Linked DNA regions of Canis lupus familiaris. The protein of the gene in region 2 interacts with the protein of the main gene of each other region in a pairwise test. Links are inferred from orthologs where the notes say so. Each region holds a gene or a part of one and is shown on either strand. Other genes may lie near its edges.

Region 1 (3,903 bases), on a different chromosome or scaffold from region 2:
TGACCTGCTTCAGGTTGGCCCTCAGGTCCATGCACACCTTGTGCTTGGAGCCCAGCAGCGCCTTGAGCATCGCGTCGGCAGACATGCGCACCCTCCTCAACGGGGGCCTCTTGAACTTGCCTCTCAGGTCGAACAGCTTCTGGTTCATGTCCTCCAGCTGCGGGGCAGAGGTTAGGGCTGGGTGGGTGGCAGTGGCTGCAGGGCCCCCTGCTGGTCCGGGGAGCCCCTCACCCGTCCACGCCCACCCCATGCCTGCTTACCTCCTTGGTGCTCTTCTGAACCCTCACTTCCATGTCATACTTCTCCTCCTCGGCTGCGTCGATCTTGGCGTGCAGCTGTTTGCAGAGCTCCTGGGGTGGGGGCAGCAGGTGGGGTGGGGCAGCTGTCCACCTGACCTCCACCTACCCTACCGGCCCTCTTGACCAAAGGGGAAACTGAGGCAACAGGCCAGAGCACCGCTCGGGGAGGGTACCTGCACTTCGGACATGGAGCCGGGCAGGTGCAGAGGCGGGCAGTGCTCAGACAGGTAGTTCTGCTTCTCAGACTCACGGCGACTCTCTTCTTTCTCCAGCTCCTGGGCGGCAATCTGGAGCATGACACTCTAGAGGGGCAGGGAGCGGGGGGCAGGCGGTGAGGGACTGTGGTGGCCCAGTCCCACTGGCACCCTGGGATGGCCCTCTCCAGGGAGCACCTACCTTCAGGTGCTGTCTCCGGGCCGTGATGGCCCTGTTGCGTTTCTGCAGGGGAGGGGGCAGGAAGCAGAGTCAGGGCTAGTTGGGGTCCCTGGCACCCCCACATCCCTCCACGCTTGCTCCACCAGGCCTGTGGACCCTGCCTGGATGCAACTGAACCGGGGTGGGGGGGTCCCAAGGCCCTGCTGGGGGACCGGGCCCAGGACACCTGTGACCAGGTGGCGGGTGAGGCTTAAAGGCTCAGGGAGGTAAAAGGAAAAGGGGCGGTACCTCAGGGGCAGGGGGAGGGGCAGGGGATCCCTGCAGGGCCCAGGAGGTGGGGGGCAGCCTCAGAAAGAAGAAGCGATTCTGGTGACCAGGCCCCAGCCCCACATCCCCTGCCCTGTGAGACGTGGGTAGCCACTTCCTGTTTCATTGAGTCTGGGTGGCTGGGTGGGGCACTCTCACGGGGGAGGGCTGGGCAGCTGCCCCTGTGCTCTAACCTATGACCTATCCCAAGTCAGGCAGGTCCCATCCCCTCTGTGTTTCATGCCTCCCCCCCCCCCAGCAGGTACTCACCTCCTCACTGTCCCGGGGAGGCAGGGGGGTTAAGGGGAGAAAAGAGACAGGTTAGGGACATAGATGGGACAGTATGATGGGGGAGTGGAGGGTGGTCAGAGCCAGCCGGGGAACTGTAGAGACCCCCGCCTGGTGGGGAGGGTGGGGACAGCAGGGGGCCCCCAGCTTTGGGCTGCACTTACTCCCCCATCCTGAAGTCCTGGGCTTAGAGCCTGTGGGAGAGAAAAGGCATGGGTGTGAGGGCCATGGCCCATCCTGCCCTGGACGCTGGTTATCCAGGTGGGGGCCACCCTGACCCCAGCCCTCTGCCTGTTGCCCTGCCCCCAGCTCTGACCTCCTTGGAGGCACCATCTTGGGATTCCCAGGGTAAGAAGAGGAGAAAGTGTTCCTAAAATGTCCCAGGCGGGGCCCGGGTTGTTGCAGCTGTCCCGGGGGGGCGGGACGGGCCAGCACAGGTGGCCACGAGAGCCTTCCCACTATTTTTAGCTCTGCTCCTTCGGCTTTGGGCCCAAGTGCATGCAAGAAAGTGCTCCCCGCTTTGGCCTGGGGTCCCTCGACCCATCAGATCTCCTCCCTGTGTCCCACCCAGAAGGGAGGGCTGGTGATCTGGAGGCTGTCCACGACCCCTGGCCACCCCCCACCCCAGCCACCTCCCAATGCATCGCCATCTGGCTCCAGGCTCCATGGAAGCCACCCCCCCTGAGAGGGCTGCTAGAGGCGGCCCCCAACCCCCAGGACCCCACCCTGGGTCGTCCTGGGAGCTAGCTCAAGGAGTGCCTGTCCTCGGCCTGGGCTGGCCGGGCTGGCCTCACCTAGTGTCTGGGCAGCAGGGCCGGGAGCGAGGTCAGGCCGGCAGCGGCAAGTTGGGCTGGTGGGCCCAGGGGGAGGGGTATAAATGGCCTCCCCAGGCTGGGCCCCTGCTCAGAAAGGGCATGGAGCCCTCCTCAGACCAATGGGGGCACAGGGGCCTCCCCACCTGCCCAGGCCGCCCGGCCCGGCCCAGCCGCGTGCTGTCGTCCCGTCCAAGAAGTCTTGGTGGGGGGGGGTGCTGAGGCTGGGCTGCTCTATTTAGAGCTCAGTGACATGTTCGAGAAGCCTCCCTTGTTCTTGCAAGGAGCCCAGGGTCAGCTGTACATGGCCTTGCTGGGCCACTGCAGGGCAAAAGCTCGAGGTCGACTGAGAGGTCACTCAGGTCCTGAGCCCGGGGCCACTCCTCAGTTTTCCCTCTGCTTCCCCGGGGGGGGGGGGGGGGGGGGGGGGGGGGGGGGGGCGGGGTGTGTGTGTGTGTGTGTGTGTGTGTGTGTGTGTGTGTGCGCGCGCGCGCGCGCTGGGAGCAGCCCCCGCAGCTCACTGCTGCCTCTTAGCCAGGCCAGGTGCCCCAGGCATGAGCCTGCCACGTCCTGTCCTTTCTCCAAGCCGGCCCCAGCTCCGGGGCAAGGCCTGAACCCCCCAAACATGGCCCGTGGCGGTGGCCAGGGCCTCCGAGTGGGGGCTGCCCTCCCCCGGCTGAGATCCGGTCCTCCTGGGAGCGGGAGGGAGGGTGCCTGGACGTGCAACCGGCCGGAACACCCTGCCCTGGGGTGGTTCCTGGCTCACTCGGAACCCGTCCTTCAACCCGGGGATGGTGGCACCACCCGCCTGGGAACCTCTCCCTGACCCGAGGGGCCTGGGGCCTGCCTGGCTGCCCGGGCAGGCCCGGCGCTGCTGCCCTTCTCACCCTGGCCCGGGCCTGCGCCCCCCGCCCGGGGCCCCCACCCAGCAGAGACATCCGGACAACCATGACTTGGCATCCTCTGAGCTGGGGGTGCGTGGCCCCAGCCCTGCCGGCCTCACGGGCCGTGGGGAGGGTCAGGGGGAGCTAAAGCCGTCCAGATGTGTGGGGATTAGAGCTGCATTCCTGGCCAGGGCTGAGCCCCCAAGGCCCGAGGTGACTTCTGAAGACATCTACTGCCCCCTGCCGTCCGCAAGAGGAGGCCTCACAGCAGCCGGCAGCCGCTGGAAGGTTTGGGGCCCTGTGGGGGCTGCAGCGGCCCCTTGGGTTGGGGTCCTTTCCCTGTACTGTCACCACCCCCAGGATACCTCCTGATTTCCCCCTGGGTCCCCGCGGGGCCGGCTGCAGCCTGCCACCCAGCACGCCGTCCCTGACCCTGCAGCCCCACTGACAAAGAGGGCTCACCACCTCTTCACACCCTCCGGTTGGTGGGGCTTGAGGGGACTCCTTCACTCCACCAAGGGGTCAGAGGATCTGTGGCTGAGGCTGGAGAGAGTCCTCCCCCCCGCAGCAATGATGACCCTCCTGCGTGTCCCTAAGGGCTCCGGAAACACAGGCAGCCACAGCAAGAGCAGGCATTTATTACAGCGGAGTGGTCCCCCGGGGCAGCCTGGACAGTACCCACACTTCAGCCCAGGGGTGCGTTCAGGAGCCGGGCAGGGGCAGGCGTAGGCGGGGTTTCAGGGCCAGGGCTCGGTCCACCTCCCCAGGGAGCTGCAGGTGGTGCCACTGGGCAACAGGCCGCCGGGCATGGGCCAGCATGTCTGCCCAGTGCTGCAGGGGCTGCCCGGAGGCCCGGGCGCCGAGCAGGACCTTGCCCACACACTCAGCCCGAAACTGTGGGCCCCGGGCCCAGACAGCCAGCACCAGATCCACGCTCTA
Region 2 (3,903 bases):
TCGATACTCGAGGTGAGGGGCTAATATTTGGGTGCAATATTAATTTTCTTATTGGAGAATGGTCAGCAATATTTCTGTACTTTTATGGAGTTTTACTCCAGGAACATAGAGGCAATAGCAGTTAGGAATATTCACCATAGAGTCAGTTAGGCTCCCTCTCAGCATCACGGCTTGCTGAGCAGCCTCGGGCACACCTCTGACCTTCTAGGAGCCTCCATTTCCTCATTGGAAAATGAGGGTAAGAAAGTAGTATGGATTACTGTGAGAATTAAATAAAGGTCACGCATGGAAAATGCTTAAGACGAGGTGCCTAGACACAGGAGGTGTCCATACATATCTGATACTTTTAACATTTCCCATCAAAACCCTATTTGATAGTCACACTAACAAACCTTACCATCCTCCTCTGCTGATGGATAAAATGAAGGCCCAAAGATTCAACCAAGTTCCCACAATACATTAGTAACAGAGTCAGACTAGCCGACGGTTCCCCTGGTCAGGGCTTTTTCACACTAAGATTGGTCTGTCACTTATCCTGGGGCAGGACACTGCCAGGCGGGCAACACTGGATGATGGTTTGGGACCCAAGGGCCTGAGGGCAGTGGCCTGGGAGTCTTGTCAGGTGTCAAATTTGTAAAGAGCTCCCTGGTGGCCATATCTCTCTCCAGCTGGACACACACACTGCACAAACTCCACTCTCACAAATTCTGCCCAAGACAGAGCTGCTGTTTTACAAACAGGGAGACTTGGGGCCAGATCGGCAGGGCTGTCCTCGGCTATTTCTCTTCTCAGCTGGGAACACTTGGGCAACTGACTTCACCTCTTCGAGCCTCAGCTTCCTCATCCATGAAATGGGGAGGATGAAAGTCATGCCCAATTCCCAGGATTGTTGTGGGGCAGCGGGAGGAAGCGTCCCCGGTACCCACGATGACAGCCATTGCCTCCACTATAGAGAGACCGGCTGTGTTCTCTCTGGGCACTTTTCTCTGCTTGCCCGGCCACTTTGCTGGCCCCAGTGTCTCCCTCTCCATGTCACAGTTTGTCCCTCCCCTGGTTCCTGTCTCAGCCTGTCCTAGGAGAGCAGCCTAATGTCTGGGCTCTTCTCATTCACTGAGGGACCGACCCCAAGAGCCAGTGTCGGGGGATAGAGATAAGCCTCTGTTGTGCCTGAAGAAGAGGGAGATGGCTCTCTGGACTGGCTAGTGTAGCTCTCCAGCCAGGGCACTGATCCTGGGCACATGGGGAGGAGCCTGGGAGAGCTGGGCACAGACCAGGTGGGGAGGAAGGATGGCTCCCAGGAGCCGGGAGGACTGACCTGGAGCACTCCTGCTTGTAGATATCAATGATGTTCTCCACCAGCAGATTCCGTTGCAGGCCGTACACTCCGTGACGATCCATGATCACCTCGTGGCGGCAGGAAGGGCAGCGGAAACGGCCTCCAGACATGGACACGGAGCCAACCCGGTTGGTCCAGAAGGGGTTCGCGGCCTGCGGATGGAAGGGCAGAGATGAGGCCTGGGACAGTCTCTGTCTTTCTTGCTCACCCCAACCATTCTCGTCAAGCCATTTGACATGGAACTCCCCATCCTGAGATGAGAGCCAGCCCACGTACACGGGGAGCACCTGAGAAAGCAACTAAGCGGTCAGCAAGTTTGGGAGGCAGCAGACCTAGGTTCAAGTCACAGTTATCCTCTGAATGACCTTGGGCAAGCCACTTTCTCCCTCCAAGCCTCTGTTTACTCATTCACGCAATGGACATTATCGTTAGAGCCTGCTCGTAGGGCTGCTAATTCAAAGATAAAATTTGGAGAGAACATTAGTACAAAGTGCTTCTGGAACCTTGAGTCCTGCCTCCCAGCCAGGGCACTTCTCCTATTCCTTTGTTGAGATGGATCCCCTCCAGCCCCACATTATAGGGAACCAGTCTCGGCCTCGAAGGGGAAGATGCCTCTACTGCCCAGTGCCTCCTGGCCACCCTCCTCCTCCCAAAGCTCTGGGCCCGCTGCCACCAGGGAGCTGGCTCCAGCCCCAGGGGTCTGGTTTCTCTCTCCTCTCCACCCGCCTCTCCCACTTATCGCTTGAGGCATTTGACTCCTGTTTGGAGAGTCAACTGTGGGCTCCGGGCAGCAGTGGGGGAGCTGCGGGCAGGGTGGAGACGGGAAGCACACGTCATGGAGAAGGAATGGGGTGGCCAGGGTCACCTCCGAGCCCCCTTCAGCCCAGAGGCCTCTGCAGGGGCTTTGCTCTGCTCGGGAGAAAGCCAGCAGTTTAGAAGTCCTAGACTAAGAGACAATGGCTTTCACCACAGGAATACTGAGCAGCCGCCTGGAGCCCAGGACAAGGCCATGCCCAGCACTGACCTGGAAAATGTCATTGGCACACTTCCGGCAGAGGTTGTGCTGACAAGGCAAGATGACCACCGGCTTGGTAAACATCTCCAGGCAGATAGGACAGATGAGCTGCTTCTCCAGGTTCTCCATGGGGTTCCCATCCTGGATTAGGCTTGATTTATAATCCATATTGTCAGGACGTGTGGAGGTTCACCTGGCTGCCTCCTTTACCTGCCTCACTTTACGTAGACCTGGGGTCTTGCCTTCGTCACAAAATACCCACACAGAGCCTCCTTGCCTTGTTCTCCTGGTGCCCGAATTCTGTCTTGGTCTGAGGCCCCTCTGATATTTATAGCTGGGTCTCGGTCACATGAGCCCCAGAAGGGGACCAGCTGAACATTCCGATGCCAAGTGGCTGGCTGGGTTTGAGTTTCCTCCAGGCCTGAAAGACCGGCCCTCTCAAATCACATGTAGGGATGAGCAATCGCTGTTCTCCTGGGAGGAGGGTCGTAAACAAGAACAGCCTGTTCGTGGGCAGCGTGGGGGGAGGAGAGGGTACCAGAGTTTCCTCCAGAACCTAGTCTCCTATACCAGGCTGGTAAGCCAGGAAGTGGACCCAAGGAGTGGGCCACTGGGATTTGCAGAGTTCATAGCCAGTGATCCCTCACTGTCCTAAATCCCTTCCTCTAGAGTACTGAGTGGCTCCCAAGAAAAGGGGTCAGGGCAGCCCCTCTCTCTGAGCCCATCTCTGAGCATAGCATATTGCTGGAAACTTTGAAACCCTACCCCAGCTAGCCTGTCCCTCCACAGTTTTATAGATTTTGACACTGAGGTCCAGAGAAGGAAAGGATCTTAGTCAAAGTCACTTAGAAAGTCAGTGGCAGGGACTCCTAGGTGGCTCAGTCGGTTGGGTGTCTGCCTTGGGCTTGAGTCGTGATCTCTGGGTCCTGGAATTGAGCCCTGTGTCAGGCTCCCTGCTTGGCAGGGAGTCTGCTTCTCCCTCTGCCCTCACCCCATTCATGCTATCTCTCTCTCTAATAAATAAATAAGATCTTAAAAAAAAAAAAAAAAAAAAAAAAAAGCAGGACCATACTTTTAAAAAAAGAAGAGGGCAGCCCTGATGGCCCAGTGGTTTAGCGCTGCCTTCAGCCCAGAGTGTGATCCTGGAGACCTGGGATGGAGTCCCACGTCGGGCTCCCTGCATGGAGCCTGCTTCTCCCTCTGCCTCTCCCCCCGCCACCCTGTCTGTCATGGATAAATAAATAAAATCTTAAGAAGAAGAAGAAGAAGAAGAAGAAGAAGGAGGAGGAGGAGGAGGAGGAGGAGGAGGAGGAGGAGGAGGAGGAGGAGAAAGTCAGTGGCAAAGCCAGGAATCTTTCATTCATCAGACATTTCTCTGAGTACTAACTATACTTCAGGCACCAGGGTGACAGATAAATGAGTAATCCTTTTCCCTGTCCCAAGAAGCTCACAGCCTATCGAGGGGGAAAACGAAATAGCTATCATTTTGGTACCATGAAGCCCTACCTGGACATCTAGAGATTATCTAGATGTTCCCCTCTACTCTCTGCAC

Evidence for each region.
Region 1: the proteins of TRIM63 (region 2) and TNNI2 interact in a two-hybrid assay, tested with the Homo sapiens proteins (2 studies listed by BioGRID and IntAct). The link is inferred for Canis lupus familiaris from reciprocal best matches to the Homo sapiens genes TRIM63 and TNNI2.

Annotation. Positions count from the first base shown.
Region 1 is NC_049239.1:46,530,308-46,534,210, reverse strand, and holds the start of TNNI2 (troponin I, fast skeletal muscle), read right to left. Parts: upstream 2,175-3,903; 5' UTR 2,063-2,174; intron 1,619-2,062; exon of another isoform or gene 1,585-1,618; intron 1,463-1,584; 5' UTR 1,441-1,462; coding exon 1,433-1,440; intron 1,258-1,432; coding exon 1,251-1,257; intron 738-1,250; coding exon 696-737; intron 602-695; coding exon 473-601; intron 351-472; coding exon 261-350; intron 158-260; coding exon 1-157. Other genes in the region: SYT8 (synaptotagmin-8), read right to left, coding at 3,667-3,900. UniProt on the Homo sapiens protein: Troponin I is the inhibitory subunit of troponin, the thin filament regulatory complex which confers calcium-sensitivity to striated muscle actomyosin ATPase activity.
Region 2 is NC_049223.1:73,293,248-73,297,150, reverse strand, and holds the start of TRIM63 (E3 ubiquitin-protein ligase TRIM63), read right to left. Parts: upstream 2,777-3,903; 5' UTR 2,520-2,776; coding exon 2,361-2,519; intron 1,489-2,360; coding exon 1,316-1,488; intron 1-1,315. UniProt on the Homo sapiens protein: E3 ubiquitin ligase. Mediates the ubiquitination and subsequent proteasomal degradation of CKM, GMEB1 and HIBADH.